3 linked regions of the Saccharomyces cerevisiae S288C genome follow. The gene in region 1 interacts genetically with each later gene. Each region holds a gene or a part of one and is shown in the gene's direction. Other genes may lie near its edges.

The links.
Region 2: mutations in DBF4 (region 1) and CHL1 together harm fitness more than expected from each alone (negative genetic interaction), as found in Saccharomyces cerevisiae (4 studies listed by BioGRID, with this or other methods).
Region 3: of DBF4 (region 1) and SLD3, changing one enhances a phenotype caused by changing the other (phenotypic enhancement), as found in Saccharomyces cerevisiae (6 studies listed by BioGRID, with this or other methods).

What each region holds. Positions count from the first base shown.
Region 1 is NC_001136.10:556,125-562,362, reverse strand, and holds DBF4 (protein serine/threonine kinase activating protein DBF4), read left to right. Parts: upstream 1-1,737; coding exon 1,738-3,852; downstream 3,853-6,238. Other genes in the region: SCF E2 ubiquitin-protein ligase catalytic subunit CDC34, read left to right, coding at 36-923; acid phosphatase DET1, read left to right, coding at 4,303-5,307; triose-phosphate isomerase TPI1, read left to right, coding at 5,891-6,238. UniProt on the Saccharomyces cerevisiae protein: Regulatory subunit of the CDC7-DBF4 kinase, also called DBF4-dependent kinase (DDK), which is involved in cell cycle regulation of premitotic and premeiotic chromosome replication and in chromosome segregation.
Region 2 is NC_001148.4:537,435-542,470, forward strand, and holds CHL1 (DNA helicase), read left to right. Parts: upstream 1-1,950; coding exon 1,951-4,536; downstream 4,537-5,036. Other genes in the region: RQC2 (Rqc2p), read right to left, coding at 1-1,502; transcription factor TFIIIC subunit TFC8, read right to left, coding at 4,648-5,036.
Region 3 is NC_001139.9:294,014-298,438, forward strand, and holds SLD3 (Sld3p), read left to right. Parts: upstream 1-1,918; coding exon 1,919-3,925; downstream 3,926-4,425. Other genes in the region: YGL114W (uncharacterized protein), read left to right, coding at 1-1,624; TATA-binding protein-associated factor TAF6, read right to left, coding at 4,165-4,425. UniProt on the Saccharomyces cerevisiae protein: Required for loading and maintenance of stable association of CDC45 with chromatin during initiation and elongation of DNA replication. Also involved in temporal regulation of origin firing. Required for the association of PSF1 with origins.

The sequences.
Region 1 (6,238 bases):
ACCAAACAAGGAAAAAAGAACAATACAACGTAAATATGAGTAGTCGCAAAAGCACCGCTTCTAGCTTACTGTTACGGCAATATAGAGAACTTACTGATCCTAAGAAAGCTATTCCCTCATTTCATATAGAACTAGAGGATGATTCAAATATTTTCACTTGGAACATAGGTGTTATGGTGCTAAATGAGGATTCCATTTATCATGGAGGGTTTTTCAAAGCTCAAATGAGATTTCCGGAAGACTTTCCCTTTTCTCCACCACAGTTTCGATTTACGCCGGCTATCTACCATCCAAACGTTTACAGGGATGGCAGGCTTTGTATTTCTATTTTACATCAAAGTGGGGATCCTATGACCGACGAACCTGATGCTGAAACGTGGTCCCCCGTGCAGACCGTGGAAAGTGTGTTGATCTCTATAGTATCTCTATTAGAGGACCCCAATATCAACTCGCCAGCAAATGTCGATGCCGCTGTTGATTACAGAAAGAACCCTGAACAATACAAGCAAAGAGTCAAAATGGAAGTGGAAAGATCGAAACAAGATATCCCTAAAGGTTTCATAATGCCCACTTCTGAATCGGCGTACATATCTCAAAGTAAACTAGATGAACCAGAATCGAATAAGGATATGGCGGATAATTTTTGGTATGATAGTGATTTGGACGACGATGAGAACGGGTCCGTCATTTTACAAGACGACGACTACGACGATGGAAACAACCATATCCCCTTTGAAGATGATGACGTTTACAACTATAACGACAACGACGACGATGACGAAAGAATCGAATTCGAAGATGATGACGATGATGACGACGATAGTATAGATAACGACAGCGTCATGGATAGGAAACAACCCCACAAGGCTGAAGATGAAAGTGAAGATGTGGAGGATGTAGAAAGAGTTTCAAAGAAAATATAAAAAAGAACAGTAAGAAAGAAGACAAAATTTAACAAAACATATTCAGCTCAAACGCAAAACATGAATCAATTTATACATACGCGATACGTTGTCGATAAAGCACTTTACATTTTTCCCTATGATAATCTGAGATTGACAGGGGAAGAAGAAAATAACTAAGTGTCGAAGAAAAATTTAGAAAAATTAATTCATCATCCCATTTTACTTCTCGCAGTACACCGTACGAAAGAAGAAGGTAAAGAATTGAGAAAAAAAGTGTATATCATTACATTACTTTACACCACCTTATAACCACAAACGTGTATATTAAGAAAGTTTTTTAAAAAGAAAGAAATAAGAAAACCAAATCCGTCCCACTAATAGTTTCTAAGTTACTGTACTTTTTTTTTTTGAATATATATCACCATACATATGTATATAAATATATATTTGTGTGTGTGTGTTTATATCTATATCTCTTTGCATCTAATTCCTCATTACCTTTTTTATTTTTATTTTCTTATCGGTTCTTGGCTAACGCCTAAGTTTCTTTTAATATTTTACCCGCAGTAAGTAAATGGTTTTTTTTTTGCAAACGCGTCTTAGGTCGATCTTTGCGAAAAAGAAAAAAATAAAGAAATAACGATAATAATAACGGTAATGGCTCAGGCCAAGAAAAACAAAAATCAAGTTGCATAGTCTATACTCAGCCAGGTGTAGATTCCTTTAGATCTGAATTCGCTTGCAGGGCTAGTTATCTTCAGAATTCAAGGTTTGAATCTGAAAGGCATTTGGAATTCTGCTTTTGGTTCATATTTAGAAAAGAAAGAAGAAAATGGTTTCTCCAACGAAAATGATAATAAGGTCTCCGTTAAAGGAAACAGATACCAACTTGAAACATAATAATGGAATTGCCGCATCAACAACAGCAGCGGGCCACTTGAATGTGTTTTCTAACGACAATAATTGCAACAATAACAATACCACTGAATCCTTTCCGAAGAAAAGATCTCTTGAGCGCCTCGAGCTCCAACAGCAGCAGCATTTGCATGAAAAGAAAAGGGCCAGAATAGAAAGGGCCAGGTCTATTGAAGGCGCTGTCCAAGTCAGCAAAGGTACGGGTCTGAAAAATGTCGAGCCAAGGGTTACGCCTAAGGAATTGCTGGAATGGCAAACAAATTGGAAAAAGATAATGAAAAGAGATTCTCGCATTTACTTTGACATTACTGATGATGTAGAGATGAATACATATAATAAGTCCAAGATGGACAAACGCAGAGATTTATTGAAAAGAGGGTTTCTTACATTGGGTGCGCAAATAACTCAATTTTTTGACACTACTGTCACAATAGTTATCACAAGAAGGTCTGTTGAGAACATATATTTACTAAAAGATACCGACATTTTATCGAGAGCTAAAAAAAACTACATGAAAGTTTGGAGTTACGAAAAGGCTGCCAGATTTCTGAAAAATCTTGATGTTGATTTGGATCATTTGAGCAAGACTAAATCTGCTTCTTTAGCTGCGCCCACATTGTCCAATCTTCTACACAATGAAAAATTATATGGACCAACGGATAGAGACCCCAGAACTAAAAGAGACGATATTCACTACTTTAAATATCCTCATGTATACCTTTATGACCTATGGCAAACTTGGGCCCCCATAATAACTTTGGAATGGAAACCTCAAGAACTAACAAACTTAGACGAACTACCTTACCCAATATTGAAAATAGGTTCATTCGGAAGATGCCCTTTTATAGGGGATAGGAATTATGACGAAAGTTCTTATAAGCGCGTAGTAAAGAGATACTCGAGAGACAAAGCAAACAAAAAATATGCACTGCAACTTCGTGCTCTATTTCAATATCATGCCGACACCTTACTGAATACGTCATCAGTTAATGATCAAACGAAAAACCTAATATTCATACCTCACACATGCAACGATTCTACCAAGAGCTTCAAAAAATGGATGCAAGAAAAGGCAAAAAATTTTGAGAAGACCGAGTTAAAGAAGACGGATGATAGCGCAGTTCAAGATGTTCGTAATGAACATGCTGACCAAACCGATGAAAAAAATAGTATATTATTAAATGAAACTGAAACCAAAGAGCCTCCGTTGAAAGAAGAAAAAGAAAATAAACAATCTATAGCAGAAGAATCGAATAAGTACCCACAGCGAAAAGAGCTGGCTGCCACACCAAAACTAAACCATCCAGTATTAGCTACTTTTGCAAGGCAAGAAACTGAAGAAGTGCCGGATGATTTGTGCACTTTGAAAACAAAGTCACGTCAGGCATTTGAAATCAAAGCAAGTGGTGCACATCAATCTAATGATGTGGCAACCTCTTTTGGCAATGGTTTGGGCCCAACAAGAGCAAGCGTCATGAGTAAGAACATGAAGTCATTAAGTAGACTAATGGTTGATAGAAAGCTGGGAGTAAAGCAGACAAATGGAAATAACAAAAATTATACAGCCACTATAGCAACTACTGCTGAAACATCAAAGGAAAATAGACACAGATTAGATTTTAATGCTTTGAAAAAAGACGAAGCCCCTTCGAAAGAGACGGGCAAAGATAGTGCTGTACACTTAGAAACTAATAGAAAGCCCCAGAATTTCCCTAAGGTAGCTACCAAATCAGTCTCCGCAGACTCCAAAGTTCATAATGACATCAAGATAACAACCACAGAATCTCCAACAGCATCGAAGAAATCAACTTCCACAAACGTCACCTTACATTTTAACGCACAGACAGCACAGACAGCACAGCCGGTGAAGAAAGAAACGGTAAAAAATTCCGGATACTGTGAAAATTGTCGTGTAAAATACGAATCTTTAGAACAACACATAGTTTCTGAGAAGCATTTGTCTTTCGCTGAAAACGATTTAAATTTTGAGGCTATTGACTCGTTAATTGAAAATCTCAGATTTCAAATATAGGGACACGACGTAAAGTGCAGTAGCTTTTAGTGATAAAATCAAAATAGTATTGTTCCGTTTCCATTGCTGCTCGGAACAAAAAAGCTATCAACGGCAATGTTATTGAATCACTTTCTCATTCACCCTTGTTACTTTCTTGCTATTGACTTAACTCTTATTTACTCGTCCATATATTATCAATTGCATATATATACATATACATATATATATTATCATCTAGATTAATTACCGTTCATATCATAACTCATTCTGAACAAATAATGATCGAGTACCCACCGCGGTTAATGTCCCAGTTTTCATTTTTACCCGATATCCTGCAGAGACCGAGAGGCATGAAAAAAAAAAAGCTAGTTCTCAACTGCATTAATTGCAGCTCGTATTCATGGTTCAACATAAAAGAACTTACGCTACAGCATTCCATTTGAATAACTCAGAGTATTAGTAAAAGAAATGTGTGAAGAGAATGTTCATGTTAGTGAAGATGTTGCTGGCAGTCACGGTTCTTTTACGAATGCCAGACCTAGGTTAATTGTACTAATAAGGCATGGGGAAAGCGAATCAAATAAAAACAAGGAGGTCAATGGTTATATTCCTAACCATCTGATTTCTTTAACGAAAACAGGTCAAATCCAAGCTAGACAAGCTGGTATTGACTTATTACGTGTTTTAAACGTAGACGATCACAACTTGGTGGAGGATTTGGCTAAGAAGTATATTAAAGATGAAAGTAGCAGGAGAACTTTACCGCTGAAGGACTATACCAGGCTGAGTAGAGAAAAAGACACAAACATAGTTTTTTATACATCACCCTATAGAAGAGCAAGGGAAACATTGAAAGGTATTTTGGACGTCATCGATGAATATAATGAATTAAACAGTGGTGTTCGTATATGTGAAGATATGAGATATGATCCACATGGTAAACAGAAACATGCATTTTGGCCGAGAGGACTTAATAATACTGGTGGTGTTTACGAAAATAATGAAGATAATATTTGTGAAGGGAAGCCTGGAAAATGTTATCTGCAATATCGGGTTAAGGATGAGCCAAGAATAAGGGAACAAGATTTTGGTAATTTCCAAAAAATCAATAGCATGCAGGACGTTATGAAGAAGAGATCTACGTATGGTCATTTCTTCTTCAGATTCCCTCATGGAGAAAGTGCGGCAGATGTATATGACAGAGTCGCCAGTTTCCAAGAGACTTTATTCAGGCACTTCCATGATAGGCAAGAGAGAAGACCCAGAGATGTTGTTGTCCTAGTTACACATGGTATTTATTCCAGAGTATTCCTGATGAAATGGTTTAGATGGACATACGAAGAGTTTGAATCGTTTACCAATGTTCCTAACGGGAGCGTAATGGTGATGGAACTGGACGAATCCATCAATAGATACGTCCTGAGGACCGTGCTACCCAAATGGACTGATTGTGAGGGAGACCTAACTACATAGTGTTTAAAGATTACGGATATTTAACTTACTTAGAATAATGCCATTTTTTTGAGTTATAATAATCCTACGTTAGTGTGAGCGGGATTTAAACTGTGAGGACCTTAATACATTCAGACACTTCTGCGGTATCACCCTACTTATTCCCTTCGAGATTATATCTAGGAACCCATCAGGTTGGTGGAAGATTACCCGTTCTAAGACTTTTCAGCTTCCTCTATTGATGTTACACCTGGACACCCCTTTTCTGGCATCCAGTTTTTAATCTTCAGTGGCATGTGAGATTCTCCGAAATTAATTAAAGCAATCACACAATTCTCTCGGATACCACCTCGGTTGAAACTGACAGGTGGTTTGTTACGCATGCTAATGCAAAGGAGCCTATATACCTTTGGCTCGGCTGCTGTAACAGGGAATATAAAGGGCAGCATAATTTAGGAGTTTAGTGAACTTGCAACATTTACTATTTTCCCTTCTTACGTAAATATTTTTCTTTTTAATTCTAAATCAATCTTTTTCAATTTTTTGTTTGTATTCTTTTCTTGCTTAAATCTATAACTACAAAAAACACATACATAAACTAAAAATGGCTAGAACTTTCTTTGTCGGTGGTAACTTTAAATTAAACGGTTCCAAACAATCCATTAAGGAAATTGTTGAAAGATTGAACACTGCTTCTATCCCAGAAAATGTCGAAGTTGTTATCTGTCCTCCAGCTACCTACTTAGACTACTCTGTCTCTTTGGTTAAGAAGCCACAAGTCACTGTCGGTGCTCAAAACGCCTACTTGAAGGCTTCTGGTGCTTTCACCGGTGAAAACTCCGTTGACCAAATCAAGGATGTTGGTGCTAAGTGGGTTATTTTGGGTCACTCCGAAAGAAGATCTTACTTCCACGAAGATGACAAGTTCATTGCTGACAAGACCAAGTTCGCT
Region 2 (5,036 bases), on another chromosome or scaffold:
TTAGATTTTCTTTTCATACTTTTTGTACTCCTCTCCTTCGAACTCTCCATGTCTTCTGAGTCTGAGTCACTAGAACTATCAGTAGTATTGCCTTCTGATTCATTGTCCTCGTCTGAAGAAGTGTTGAGTTCCTTGCTAGAGAGATCAAGCTTGACGCTAATTTTGTTCTGTTTCAAGTTCAAAGGCAAGTTCAAAAGCTGAGCAATTCTGTTGCCTTTTTTTTGTTCACTTTTAATTAGTTTCTCAATAGTGTTCCAGTCCATTTGTTGATCGATTAGACCCTGAACAGCAAGCTTAACTTCCTCTATTAAGGGTGCATTTTCAATTATGAGATGGCCTTTCCTTTCATTTAGTTCTTGGACGTCTAATAAAGCTTGTATTTTTCTATCATTTTCGGCACGAGCATCATCGATTTTCTTTTGCGCTTGCGATTCCTGATTTTGTATACGTAGAGCATACTTAGAGGATTCTATTGTTGAGAAAAATTTGTCTAGCGTCCTATTGTAAGGACCTTCAACTTCAATGATACAAGAAGAGTCAGTGTCTCCCCCATTTATATATGGCTTAAAGGGATGGAATGTATCATAAATAAATTCCAAATCGGCAGTATCTTTTTCAGAGATATAATTTTCATTTCTTTTGGCCAAAATGTAACCCTTTCTATCGGTGGTAGTTAAAAGTTGATTATATTCTAACTGAGTACTGTTTAGCAATTCGGCGAGTGAGTCTGTTTCCTCCAAAAGATTTAAACAAGACTCTGAAGGGTCGATATTGAATACCTTAAGGTTCTTTGATAATAAATCTGAAGACAAATGAGGGACTTTCGAAAGCAGCAGTTTATGGATGGAAGGTACTTTCACTTTTTTTTTTTTAGCGCCCTCCTTCCCTTGAATGTTAAGTTGCTTAATAACAGTAATGTCTGATTCATACTTGGCTTGAACTGCTTTTATCCACTCGTTGACTAGTTCAGAGGTGTATTCTGCCTTTCTGTTTTTTTCTATGGATTCATCAGCAGACTCGTTATTTGTGGTAAAAAGTGATTCGTCAAACATTTCATAAATTTGTCCGACCTTATTTTCATGCTCTAGAACGACTCTTTGCAAAGCCATAATTCTTCTGTTCTCATCTAGAAGAATGACATTCCCTGCACTGAAAAATTCCAAAACTAAATAGAAGTGGCCATCAGCAAATTGTAGAACAAGAATTCTATCCTGGTCTACTTGCTTTAAAGCTGTTAACCGTTTAGCTTTAAGATGCTTCCTTAGTTTGACAACAAAGCCGGAAGGAGTTGGAGGTATTGGCCTACTAAATTCAGTTAAGTAAATTCTTAAGCCACAATCGACAACAACATTGAGTTTAGAATCTGGTTTATTAAATTTCAGCAAAAATTGTTTTGAGGAATCGGCAATGTTATATATATTACTCAATCGGTAGCCTTCCAAATCCTGTTTCAGCTCTCTAGCCAACAGCAGTAAATCTAGGGCACTAATTCTTTGCTTCATCGCTATTAATCTCTTGCCTGCCTGACTTCTTAGACCGGATAATAAGTAGCAACTTTCTTTTCAATTTGCCATCGGATTCTTTTAAAACTATTTTTCAGGCGAAATTTCATTTTTCTATCCTTCCGCAGCATGAATGAAAAGTTCAAACGCGTCCAAATATACAATAGATATAGTGCATTAGTTAATGTCCGGAAGAGAAGTCGCAATTGTTGAAAAGGTTAAAACTCAGGCTATTTATTGAAAATCCAATTTTAATCGTAACCACAGAGTTGAGGTAGAGGCTCATTTGTTACCTGACAGTTGATGACATTATCACTGACATATTTAAATTCATCATTAGTGTAATCAGCACATGCTAAGTTGAGGGCACTACTGCAACTTCAGTTTGTTTCCTTAAAACCCAAAAGAGTAGAAAACCAGGCTAAAAACAGTCACACTAGTCCAAAAAATGGACAAAAAGGAATATTCGGAGACTTTCTATCATCCTTATAAGCCCTATGATATTCAGGTACAGTTAATGGAAACTGTATACAGAGTGCTATCCGAAGGGAAGAAAATAGCTATCCTGGAAAGCCCCACTGGGACAGGCAAGACGCTGTCCTTAATCTGTGCCACGATGACTTGGTTGAGAATGAATAAAGCAGATATTTTCACCCGCATGGAAACTAACATCAAAACGAATGAAGATGATAGTGAAAACCTAAGCGATGACGAGCCAGACTGGGTTATTGACACTTATCGAAAGTCTGTTTTACAAGAAAAGGTGGATTTGCTAAATGATTATGAGAAGCATTTAAACGAAATTAACACGACCAGTTGTAAGCAGTTGAAAACTATGTGTGATTTAGATAAAGAACATGGAAGATATAAATCAGTTGATCCATTAAGAAAGAAACGCAAAGGCGCTAGGCACCTTGATGTATCACTTGAAGAACAAGATTTTATTCCGCGCCCGTACGAATCAGATTCTGAAAACAATGATACCTCCAAAAGCACAAGAGGAGGAAGAATATCTGATAAAGATTACAAATTGAGTGAACTAAATTCACAAATAATAACACTTTTAGACAAAATTGATGGGAAGGTTTCGAGAGATCCAAACAATGGCGATCGCTTTGACGTTACAAATCAAAATCCAGTGAAAATATATTATGCATCCAGAACTTATTCACAATTAGGTCAATTTACTTCTCAGTTAAGATTACCCTCGTTCCCATCATCCTTTAGGGATAAGGTCCCAGATGAAAAGGTGAAGTACTTACCACTTGCTTCGAAAAAGCAGCTTTGTATTAATCCAAAAGTGATGAAGTGGAAAACATTGGAAGCTATTAATGACGCATGTGCGGACCTTAGACATAGTAAAGAGGGATGTATCTTTTATCAAAATACAAACGAATGGCGTCATTGTCCTGATACGTTAGCTCTCAGAGATATGATTTTTTCAGAAATTCAAGATATTGAAGATTTAGTTCCCCTGGGAAAATCTTTGGGAATTTGTCCCTATTACGCCTCGAGGGAGGCACTTCCTATTGCGGAGGTAGTGACTTTGCCATATCAATACTTACTTTCTGAGTCCACCCGTTCAAGTCTTCAAATAAACCTTGAAAATTCTATAGTAATTATTGATGAGGCTCATAATTTGATAGAAACAATAAATTCTATATATTCCTCTCAGATCTCGTTGGAGGACTTAAAGAATTGCCATAAGGGGATAGTAACTTATTTCAACAAATTTAAGTCCAGGCTCAATCCCGGTAACAGAGTAAATCTATTAAAGCTCAATTCACTTTTGATGACTCTGATTCAATTTATAGTTAAAAATTTCAAGAAGATAGGACAAGAAATAGATCCTAACGATATGTTCACAGGAAGTAACATCGATACCCTAAACATTCATAAACTATTGAGATATATAAAAGTCTCCAAAATTGCTTACAAAATTGACACGTATAACCAGGCACTAAAAGAGGAAGAATCGTCAAAAAATGAAAATCCAATAAAAGAAACGCATAAAAAATCAGTTTCTTCTCAGCCATTACTTTTCAAGGTTTCTCAATTCCTATATTGTTTGACAAATTTGACGTCAGAAGGACAATTTTTTTTTGAGAAAAATTATTCAATAAAGTACATGCTTCTAGAACCAAGTAAACCTTTTGAGTCAATACTAAATCAAGCAAAATGTGTAGTCCTTGCAGGTGGGACAATGGAACCCATGTCAGAGTTTTTGTCGAATTTGCTACCTGAAGTTCCTTCTGAAGACATTACGACCTTGTCGTGCAATCATGTTATACCGAAAGAGAATTTGCAAACTTATATCACAAACCAGCCTGAGCTTGAGTTCACATTCGAAAAAAGAATGTCTCCCTCCCTTGTAAATAATCATCTTTTTCAATTTTTTGTTGATCTGAGCAAAGCAGTTCCTAAAAAGGGTGGTATTGTAGCTTTTTTTCCAAGCTATCAGTATTTGGCGCATGTAATTCAGTGCTGGAAACAGAATGACAGGTTTGCTACATTAAATAACGTGAGGAAAATATTCTATGAAGCAAAAGACGGCGATGATATTCTATCTGGATATTCTGATTCGGTAGCAGAGGGAAGGGGGTCTCTTTTGCTGGCTATTGTTGGGGGAAAATTATCAGAGGGAATAAATTTTCAAGATGATTTATGTAGGGCTGTGGTGATGGTGGGCCTGCCGTTCCCAAATATTTTTAGTGGAGAACTAATAGTTAAAAGGAAGCATTTGGCCGCTAAAATAATGAAGTCAGGCGGAACGGAAGAGGAAGCTTCACGAGCAACAAAGGAGTTTATGGAGAATATTTGTATGAAAGCTGTCAACCAAAGTGTTGGACGTGCTATACGGCATGCAAATGATTACGCAAACATTTACTTGCTCGATGTGCGATATAATAGGCCCAATTTCCGGAAAAAATTGTCACGTTGGGTGCAAGATTCTATCAATTCCGAACATACAACACATCAGGTCATTTCTTCAACACGGAAGTTTTTTTCAATGCGCAGCCTGAATTCACGCTAAAAGGAATACGTTTACGTGTATACTGTGATTACTACTATATATTATAGTAAACTAAACTGATATTTATGACTACTTTTTATATCTGCAAGTAATTCTTTGTCTCTTGTATCCTTACATAACTTCCAGCGTTGTTCCACAATATACGCTTATTTCATTAAATCTTTCTAATAGACCCCTTGTAAACCAACCATAATCATTCAAATCATCTCGTTTTATGTCTATTACCCGTTGTTTGCTCACGGGACATATCTTTACATGCGTTGTAAGTATTGGAAGCAAAGTGACACCACACCTCTTCCACGTGTTATTCGTGGTGGATGTTACAGTTTCAGGGTCAGCCGTGAAGCTTTCTAAATTGAACGTTTCCTCGAGAAAGCTGTTCTTCATCAATAACGTGCCGTTGTAAATTGGCGCTTCTCTTTTAAGTATTGCCGCTATAGATAATACGCAAGCTAAATCAAAACTATTCGTTAATTCGGATTTTTTGTTTATAGCGTATT
Region 3 (4,425 bases), on another chromosome or scaffold:
TTTACAAGAGGTTTCTAAGTCAGAGTTATTGGAAATGAGGCAGAGGAGATTGAATGAATGCCCTGAAGTGCTACAACCCAACAGAGATCCAGAGGAGGCGGATTATTTAATGAACTCTTCTCATAGCGAACTTGGTGATTATACGGCAACTAGCCAAGATGGAAGTTCTATCCTTTCTACTGGCTCTGAGAACTACAGAGCGAATATTATTATTTTATTGAAAACTTTTGTTGTTTCTTCGCTTTACACCATGGTGTCATATTTTGTACCGGTAATACGGTCTATTCCAGTCTTCGGAAAATACCTCTCGAACAATTATCTCTGGAATTTTCAGCCGTCGCCTGCGTATATAGGCCAAGGGATAATAATGGGTCTTCCAACAGTATCGTATATGCTTATCGGGTGCTTCTTAGGCTGGGGTGTGTTAGCACCATTGGCGAGATACAAAAGATGGGTACCACCAGATGCTGATGTCCACGACTGGGAGGAGGGAGTGCAAGGATGGATTCTTTGGTCGTCGCTTTCAATAATGGTTGCTGACAGTGTAGTCGCTTTTATTGTTGTGACAGTGAAGTCCATTGTGAAATTTATTCTTATAGATGACAAAGCTGCTTTACTGAACAACATAATCGATGATACATTTCAATCTATGTTACTGGAGGAGGAACGCGCCATTAATAGCAGCAGAAGAAATACATATGTTGATGGAAGGCAGGACACCGTAAGATTAGTGAGTAGAGATAACGAAATAGAAGTAGATTCGAAGCATTTGGTTCGCTATACCACCGTTATCAGTGGATGTCTAGTCTCCTCGATAATATGCATTGTTTCCATAATATATTTGTTTGGGATACAAGTAATTCCCCTATATGCTATTATCACTGCTTTGATACTTGCGTTGTTTCTATCTATTCTCGGTATTCGAGCACTTGGAGAGACCGATCTGAATCCTGTGAGCGGCATTGGTAAGATCTCTCAATTGATTTTTGCCTTTATCATACCAAGGGATAGACCTGGATCAGTGTTAATGAACGTGGTATCGGGAGGTATTGCAGAAGCCTCTGCCCAACAGGCGGGCGATTTAATGCAGGATTTGAAAACGGGGCACCTCCTCGGCGCCTCCCCAAGAGCTCAGTTCTGTGCCCAATTGATAGGGGCCTGTTGGTCAATTATTTTGTCTAGCTTCATGTATTTGTGCTACAATAAAGTTTATTCAATTCCGAGTGAGCAATTCAGGATACCGACAGCAGTAGTGTGGATAGATTGTGCAAGACTAGTAACTGGTAAAGGGCTCCCTGATAAGGCCTTGGAGTGCTCCATGATTCTCGGAGTCATATTTGCCGTTTTATCATTAATCAGAAACACTTATAGAGATTACGGATACGGGTGGATATTATATATTCCGTCTGGTGTAGCAGTCGGTGTTGGTATATTTAATTCTCCCAGTTTTACAATTGCAAGATTCATCGGCGGGTGGGCTTCGCATTTTTGGTTGAAGAATCATAGGGGTGACTTAAATGCGAAAACAAAAATGATTGTATTCAGTTCGGGGTTGGTCTTAGGTGAAGGTATCTTTAGCGTAATAAACATGCTCTTCATCTGCTTAAATGTCCCTCACTATTAGGTATATAATATTTTACTAATAAAGAATTTACAAAGTTTACAAATTTTAAATTATTTACTCATCACATAATTCGATGTCTTAGATTTCCCTGTATATATATTTCTAGGTGACAAAAATCCTAGGCAAAATGTTATATTATACGCGACCTTGAAATATCGGCTATCTTGGTGTACAACATGGTCCATTTAAGAAAAATAAAAAAAAGTGATGGGCACTGTTAAAACAGGCAGAAGCCTCATTCATAACTGCTGAAGGGTTAAGATCGTATAGGTAGGAACGATCTGACCTCTCATAATGGAAACATGGGAAGTCATAGCATCGGTAAAAGAAGCAACAAAAGGCCTTGACTTGAGCTTAGATCATCCACTTATTATTAAATCCGAGGACGTGCCCAGTAACATTCTCCAATTACTGCAACAGAAGAATCGACGTCAATTGAAACACATCTGCATGAAATCAAGAAAAGAGTATTTTCTACTAGAGGAATATGGGCCAGGATTTTGGGTTAAGTGGCCGTACAATTATTTCAATGGTTACAGCTTACCAGAAAGGCGTACGGAAGTTGTAACGACAGTTGAAAGAGAAAGAGCTAAGCGTGAAACGTTAAAAACATGGGACGAATTGAAATTTAAAGAGCTTCTTCATTTATGGTCAGAAGAACCCAAGGGCTCGTGTAAGCTTGAGAAGGACAAAGACCTTAAACTGGATATGAATCCCCCAGATATGAAAGGCGAATCAAAAATTAATGACTACTATTCAGACCCTAAAGAGTACATAGAAAGTAAGTATTATGATGCTCTTTTTTCCATACATACGCCTCTCGCATATTTCGTCAAGTCAAATTTAGTAAGGCTCAAAAATACCTGCCGAACCAAGTACGGAAGTGACAGTTACAAAATAGCCTATCAAGCCATGCTGCAAAAATTTCTTCTCTCAATTGTACAATTCAAAGATAGACATGATAACAGGCTTTTATTAGAGCCCTTTTCTAGTCCCATAGCAGATGAAAAAAGGAAGAACTGTCTCACAAAATTTGTTATCCAAGATGAAAACAAAAACAGCTCAACCATTGCTGATTTATGTGTTGTATTAAAATCCCGCGAAATAAAGCTACAAATATTATTGCTATTAGAGATAATAGGATTGAACGATTTAGATTGGAATTTTAGAGATTTTGAGAAAAAGTATAAATTAAAATTGAAGAAAAGATCACTTAATTTGACAAAAAAGGGATTAGTTCGTCGAAGATCGAAGAAAAAAACCAGCGAAAAAGACAAAGGAATCGAGAGAATAACAACATCTTTGGATTATTGTGAACAGTTAGACTTGTACTTAGATAGAGCATGCATCTTGGACATTCTACTATCAAGTGAAACGCCCAACCCAGATGCCATAGAAGCATCAAATGGAACAATACAAGAGCATAAAAAAAATATCCTAGACAAAAGCAAAGAAGCCTCATTGGTTGGGTTCATAAATTATGTTCTTATTCCATATTTCAACAAAAAGGTACCACACGCCGTTGAATTTATAATTCAAAAGCTCAAGGGACCAAGCATGAGACCAAAGAGAGCCCTGAAAAAGGTCAACGATAGCACAAATGTATCGTCACCTAATACTGTAGAAACGTATAACAGGTTATCCACGAGTCAACGTGCCTCTCGCTCTTCAATCATTAATTCCGTCCCATCTTCACCCGCATTGAGAAGGGTGGACGCTAATTTGTTCAGCAGAAAATCTATAGCTTCGCCCACCCCTGAACTTTTGAATTCTAGAACGAACTCTAACTTGAATGAATTTCTCGAAAGTGAAACTAGAAGCTTAAAGCGCCCTTCACAATTGGGAAGGACGAAGTCTGATCTAACGATGAATCATTTACAAAAACGGCAGTTTTCTGTCTCTGACTTAAGCACAACAAGAGTACCGAATTCATCAACTATCACACTCAAAACGCCTTTCTCGCACTCAACTATTAATGCATACAAAACTATGAATAACTCTTTTCGCAGAGTTGGGAAACGTAAAGATATCAATGAAACGATACGCCTACATGAACGTGTAGACTCTGAGGAAAACGTACAAGTTCAAGCCACTCCTGCTGTGAAAAAAAGAACTGTGACACCTAATAAAAAGGCGCAACTTCAAAGCATCATTGAATCGCCGCTAAATTTCAAGGATGATGATACGCATGAAGGCAGAAAAAATACCTCCAATATTACCTCTACTCCCACTAATAAGCCCCCGGAAAATAGCTCAAAAAGGAGAGTAAGAAGACGTTTATTTGCTCCAGAATCCACATAGAATAAGAAACTGCGAGACCACCTTCGCTGGCAAGTAGTTGACCCAACTCCATCTTTGTAGCTTTTCTTGGACGAAAAGGGAATAAAATAAAACTAAGCTACAACAATTTCGCACTTCGGGGGCCTTTGAGTATACAATTAAATAACTCATCATGCATATATATATATATACATACAATGGCGTATGTAAAAACTGTTATATAACATTACCGTTGTACTATTAGTATAAACCGATTCTCACTATTCGCCAAAAAATATCGCACTAATTAATTCTTTTGCGTCGTCTCTTTTCAAAATGTGAAATCCAATAGTGACACCACACCTCTCTAGCAATTTTTCCTTATCCTCATCCGTAACTTTTTCACCTTTACCCTCGTACAAATCTGGTAAATCCTTTTTTAGAACTAACAATGCACTAATTACAGTATCAACCAAGATTTGAGTTTCTTCTTTAGTAAATTTGGTCCTAGTTGGATTGGAGTCATCGTTCAAATGTTCCTC